Linked DNA regions of Saccharomyces cerevisiae S288C. Each later gene encodes a partner of the first gene's protein in a complex. Each region holds a gene or a part of one and is shown in the gene's direction. Other genes may lie near its edges.

Region 1 (3,434 bases):
TAATAATGTTAATAATAAATCTGTTAGCTTTAGACTAAATGAAGATGATTTAGCAGTATTTGATTTATTTGGAAATGGTAAGGCAGTGAAACATCAACCAAAAACATATCGCACCAAAAAATGATATATAGTCTTTTTGCCCTGGTGTTCCTTAATAATTTCTATATTTTTGCATAATAAACCATTGTATTATATACATTCGATTTTGTGTGTATATACGTAAGTACATGATTTTGTTTCTCCTCGTGCTGTCAATTATACACTCATTTTCATTTGAATTCTTGGATGAGGATTATAATCTTCAATTTCAAAGTCTGTCAACTTGAAATCATCAATGTCTTTAACGTCCCTTTTAATCTTTAGTTTCGGGAATGGTCTTGGATTTCTGGTGATTTGTTCTTTCAAGGCATCAATGTGGTCTTTATAAACATGTGCATCCCCCAAAGTATGAATGAACTCACCTGGCTCCATGTCGACAACTTTAGCAATCATTCTAGTCAACAAAGCATATGATGCAATGTTAAATGGTACTCCCAACCCCATATCACAAGAACGTTGGTACAATAAGCATGAAAGGCGGGGCTTACCGGATCCTTCTCCTTCTTTGGGGAAACTGACATAGAACTGTGAAAAAATATGGCATGGCGGCAAAGCCATTTTGTCAAAATCAGCTGGGTTCCAGGCACTCATAATGATTCTTCTATCGTAGGGATTTGTCTTTAGTTTATGTATAACCTGTTTCAATTGATCAATACCTTGTCCAGTATAGTCGTCATCGCACGTCTTGTATTTAGCACCAAAATGCCTCCATTGAAATCCGTAAACGGGCCCCAGATCTCCTACTTTCCTATCTTTGAACCCCATCTTATCTAAATATTCACGAGATCCATTACCGTCCCAAATCTTAACACCTTGCTCAGACAATAGGTTAGCGTCTGTATCACCGGCCAAAAACCACAATAGTTCAAGTATGATACCTCTAGTAAAAACCTTCTTGGTCGTTAGTAGTGGGAAGGTATCATCACGTAAACTAAAACGCAGCTGGGGTGGTGCAAAAAGACTCAACGTACCAGTGCCTGTTCTATCTGGCCTAAATTCACCTTCATCAATGATTCTTTTGCATAGATCAAGATATTGCTCTTCTTCTTTGTTTTTTCCGTCCATAGTCATCCTGTACCGTTCTGTTATGAAGCTCTCTCCTTGATACTTTATTGTTTGATATACACAGTCACTTACAAGTTTAGAAAATACAATTACAGCTATGCTATAGTAAATATTTCAGGAAACGCGTCAATTAAGGTCTTTTTCATTTTTTCTATTTAACGCGTCACCAAATATTAAGTTTGAGAAAGAAGGTCAAAAAAGCAACACCTCTTCCAACCTGTTCAATGCGGTCCTACGTTGAGGACACAAAGCTAATCTCTTTGAGGTAGCTGCAGTATAATGACGGGACCTTTGCATATTTTATTGGCCTTTTCCAATGAAACTAATTTTTTAATTGAATCTCAATCCCGTCCTTTACAGACGAGAGGGGAAAGAAGCTTGTTCGCATGATCCATCCTGGAATATGGATACATGTCATGTAATGATAAATCATTCCTACCTTTGCTGGTATCTTTCTGAAAAGGGCACATTTAATTAAGAACTGCCAACAAGGAAAGATCTCCGTTACCCTACCCAACTTGTGAGCTCAGATGAATGAGAATAACTAGAATACATACACATACGTCTAGTATCATTTCCCCCGGTGCTGGGAAATCACCCGTAAAAGCAGTGAAGAGCTTATTAACTCATGATGTCTGATTTAACACCAATATTCCGTAAGTATGTTGCTGTTATCGATGATGCTAGAAATGAGCAAAATGGTATAGATGATCATGTTGAAAGGAAACAAGAGGACTTCGGGAATTCTAATGAAACGTGTGAAATGTTTAGGGATTCGTTTATTAAGGAATGTGCAAGACTATTGAAGTTCCTAGTCGAATTAAACAAGGTAATAAAACAGATTGAAAAAAACTATTTAGATGACTTTAATATGAGTGATGCGGAAAAGGACGAGTTTGACATGGAATGCAGGCTGCAAATTCAACAATATTTCAAAAAGTTTGAATTCCTAGAGAATTACGAAATGGAAAGGCATAATTTGTCGCTGAAAAGATTTCAGTCAAAGTCTCACAGATGGTCAAAAATACTTTCCAATAAAAACGACAACACTAAGCATGTGATACATCCGCAAGACATTGAAAATGGAGTTTATGAATTTAGATTAGGTGTCCTACGGTGTTTGAATTTGTGGATAAAATATGTTTCATCCAAATTCACTACCATACAACAGGAAAGATTGATATTAGAAAATAAAATGAATTTCAATTCAACGCCTATGCCTACTTTATCCAACAATGCGGATGATTTCTCTGCAGATGCAATAGACATCTCAGTGTCACAATCTGCTCCCGTAGAAACTGTACAAGACGAAGTAAAACATTATGAAGAGACGATATCCAAATTAACCCAGGAGCAACTACAAGTGTTGGAGACAGAACATTCGGAACTGCTAAATCAAAAAAATGAGCAATTGAAAAAAGTGGAGACTATAAACAAAACAATTTTAGACATTGTCAATATACAGAACGAATTGTCCAATCATTTAACGGTGCAATCTCAAAATATAAACCTAATGCTGAACAATCAAGATGACATTGAATTGAATATTAAGAAGGGAAATAAAGAATTACGTAAAGCGAAACGAGCTGCTGGAAGAACTGCTAAAATGACCACTTATGGTGCCATTATCATGGGTGTTTTTATATTGTTCCTAGATTATGTAGGTTAATATCACTTTCATAAGATATGTGTAAAATGGGTTAAAAAAATCAATCTATCATCAACTTATTACTATTCATTTTATATATTAAACAATAAGTATGAATGCCTAGTATAATTTCTTAGTTGTAGGATTACTGGCATGCAATTCTGCCAACTGCGATAACCTTATGATCTATTGATGTTAAAACAATATTGTTGGTAATGTATTTGGAATCAATCACATTAAGAGCAAAGTCTGGTTCTATAATTTCGACTTCGACAATAAGTGACTGATTTGGATTAATTGAGATGTCGTTAGTCCCGAGAATCTTCACCAATTTTACCGCGTTGTGCGTCAAATTATGGTAAAGAAGCAATTCAGAACCCAAGTCAACGGGATCACTTAGCGCGTGCGTTTGTATTGATAATTTTATTAAACGCAAGGCTAACAACTTTAGTGTGTTTGGTAAATTCGGTGATAGTGTATTCGTCTTTCTAGAGTGAATTATTATATCACCCTTACGAATGTGAAATTGCTTTTTCGTGAAGTCTTCGGTATTATGAATCTTAACAAGAACCTCTAAAATGTCAGGGTTCAAACCGACTGATATATTATTTTTTGTGTTAGT
Region 2 (3,289 bases), on another chromosome or scaffold:
GAAGGGTTCGATGCTGATGAAAAAGTTATGGAAAAAGTTAAAATTCTGTCCATTGACCAACTGGAAGAATTGTTTTTATCAAAAGCTCCAAACGAGCCTTTATTGCCACCTCTGCCCGGTCAACCTCCACTGATTAATATTGGTTTGGTTGGTTATCCAAATGTAGGTAAATCCTCCACTATTAATTCGCTCGTGGGTGCCAAGAAAGTTTCTGTTTCATCCACGCCTGGTAAAACAAAACACTTCCAAACTATTAAGTTATCTGATTCTGTCATGCTTTGTGACTGTCCCGGTCTTGTCTTCCCAAACTTTGCATATAACAAGGGTGAGCTCGTGTGTAATGGTGTTTTACCTATTGATCAATTACGTGATTATATTGGTCCAGCAGGTTTAGTAGCAGAAAGAATACCAAAGTATTACATTGAAGCGATTTATGGTATCCATATTCAAACCAAATCAAGGGATGAAGGTGGGAATGGGGATATACCAACTGCTCAAGAATTGTTAGTCGCATACGCCAGAGCTCGTGGTTATATGACTCAAGGTTACGGTTCTGCTGATGAACCAAGAGCAAGTCGTTATATATTGAAAGATTACGTCAATGGGAAATTACTGTATGTCAACCCTCCGCCCCATCTAGAGGATGATACACCTTACACTAGAGAAGAGTGTGAAGAATTTAACAAAGATTTATATGTGTTCGACAGATTACCGGACACCAGAAAGGAGCAAGTGCAAAATGCTGCTAAGGCTAAAGGCATTGATATCGTGGATTTAGCTCGTGATTTGAATCAGCTAACGTTTTCAGCTCACACTGGTGGTGACACACAAAAAGAAGCCAAATCTGTTACGCACGGTGGTAAACAAGCTGCATTGTACAATGCCGCTGAGGACTTGGATAGAGACTTCTTCAAGATGAACAACGTCGAAGGTAGATTAAGTACACCATTCCACAAAGTTCAAAATAGTTCAGCTGGTAAGAGACATAACAAAAAAAACAAAAGTAAAAATGCGAAAAGCAAAGTTTTTAGCATTGAAAATAATTAGCGGTAACTAACATATATCTTCTCAAAAAAACTGTGTACTATTATCTTTTCATCTCGCCAATTAATGACAGCGTTATTTGAGAATAGACCTAAGATAATAAAACTATGTTCGTTACCCGGACAAATTTTCTTGGAAGAATTTTTGAGTCCTAGAGATATTATAAAACGGCCCTCTATTAATTTGCTCTTTCTTTCCTCAGTTTAATTCTTCTTTCGAATAAAAAATAAAAATATCATGGCTCTTCAACACATTTCAACATGTTCAAGTAATTTGTGTTAGTGGATGACCATTTAGGGGCTGCTGGCCTGGTTACCGGGAGTTTTTCTTGGATCCAAGCTAGCTTTTCCGTCTGATTATCCTTAAGCTTCACAAATTACAATTTTTCCCACGCATTAAGAAATAAGCTCAAGATGCCTAAAATAAGTTCTATCCCGCCTTTTTTCGCTAACAATGACTGAGTATTCCCACAGTCTATAGTTTGATAGTAGATGGGCGGAAATTTTTCTCATATATTTACTTTTTATAGGAGAGTATATTTACGTACGTATAGTGATTGCATGTAGTTGCTCCCTATATCTTGTCATATGAGCGTGATACTGACCGATACCTGTTACAGATGTCGGTCTGGATTTGTTCGTTTTTCTTCCCTAAAGTAGGTCAGTATATATAAAATATGGCCGGAGGAAAGCTTCACCACTTTATCACCACTAAATTTATAAAGTAGAATACAATTTCAACATACACAGAGAATAAAAAAAGGTTGACAGGACACATAATAGCAAGGCAAGATGGCTGAAACTTCCAACGACCCCTTTCTGTCCTACGTTTTGAGTAGCAAACAATTAACTAATTTGAATCGTCTACGAAGGAAAGCAGTTACAAAACAACTGGGATCAAGTGACGACAATAAGGTCTCAGAGGAGTTTTTGAGGTATCAACATACTTATCAAAGAGAAGCATTTGAATATCTGCAAACAAAACATGACGCCCACAAAATAATGGAGTCACAGTACGAACAGTACCAAAGCAGTTCAAAAACAAGAAGATATAGTATCGATTTAGATTCTGTAGATGCAGTTGACACGGAATCGCAAACAGAATACCCAAATGAGGAGTTTATTGATAGAAACGAAGATAGCGAAGCTGTTATGGAGTTGAGAAAGAGATTGTTGGGGAAGGGACAGAATAAGGGTTTAGGATATGAAACTACGAAATCAGTCGATAGGCAAATTGAGGACCAGGACACGTTGCAACAGGATTTGATTCAGGATATGAGCAAACTTGTGGGCAGTTTGAAGCAAGGAGCTGTGGCATTTCAATCAGCACTTGATGAAGATAAGCAAGTTCTTGGAGCTGCAGAGATAGGTATTCAAGTTGCTTCTCAAGGTTTAATGGATGTTAGCGGTAAATTAAGGAAATATGACAAGAGTAAATTGAGTTACTTGTTTTATATTACTGTTTTCATTTTTATGATTCTCGGACTGGTGTTTACATTTATCATAATTCAATTATTCCCGGCCCTATAATGTAATTATAACGATGGAATGATGTTTTTTGGAAGAAAAATTCAACTGTTTATTAATATTTACGGCATTTTTTCATGTAGTTGAGATTATTCCTATTGAAAAAAGCAAATTGTGAGAAAAAAGTATACAATAAAATTTGTATAGGCTGCAGAATTCTCCTTTCCGTATAGTTGCCTACTTCCCGTCTCAAACTGAATCCTGCTATCTGATTGCTTTCTGTGTTGGTGCGGTGAATCTTTTTATACATATAATATTTGAAAAAGAATAAACATTTGAGAAAACAAAAGTAGCTAAACAAAACGACAAAATCATAACATTTCCTGATCTGACTGAAAGCTAATAGAACAGCAGTGTTCGATGAGGGTAAAATAAGGAGGGGTCTTCGGTTACGTTATACTAGTAAGTTGATTTTGATTTTAAGTCATATTATTGAACGCATTATGATGATACTCATAATGGACTAAATTTTTCTCATGTATAAGGTCCATAGTAGCCAAGTGCATTCCATTACAATGTTATTGATATTATCTGTGCTCTCAAATTCGGCTGAAGAAAACTACTACAAACACAACACATCAAATAATGTAACACAGCCTTGCTTATTGCCGGTGTAAGGGTCGACTATCTTCGATCTACTCATATTCATATTATCAATTTATTATCATATATGGTATAAGAAAATGACATGAACATTGAGAAACAACCAATAGATTAAT

Evidence for each region.
Region 2: UFE1 (region 1) and USE1 share a complex: the UniProt entries of both Saccharomyces cerevisiae proteins name them as parts of the SNARE complex.

What each region holds. Positions count from the first base shown.
Region 1 is NC_001147.6:466,420-469,853, forward strand, and holds UFE1 (Ufe1p), read left to right. Parts: upstream 1-1,792; coding exon 1,793-2,833; downstream 2,834-3,434. Other genes in the region: SGO1 (Sgo1p), read left to right, coding at 1-124; CDC21 (thymidylate synthase), read right to left, coding at 256-1,170; SKI7 (Ski7p), read right to left, coding at 2,958-3,434. UniProt on the Saccharomyces cerevisiae protein: Syntaxin required for targeting and fusion of Golgi-derived retrograde transport vesicles with the ER.
Region 2 is NC_001139.9:315,507-318,795, forward strand, and holds USE1 (SNAP receptor USE1), read left to right. Parts: upstream 1-1,835; coding exon 1,836-2,573; downstream 2,574-3,289. Other genes in the region: ribosome biogenesis GTPase LSG1, read left to right, coding at 1-1,047. UniProt on the Saccharomyces cerevisiae protein: SNARE required for targeting and fusion of Golgi-derived retrograde transport vesicles with the ER.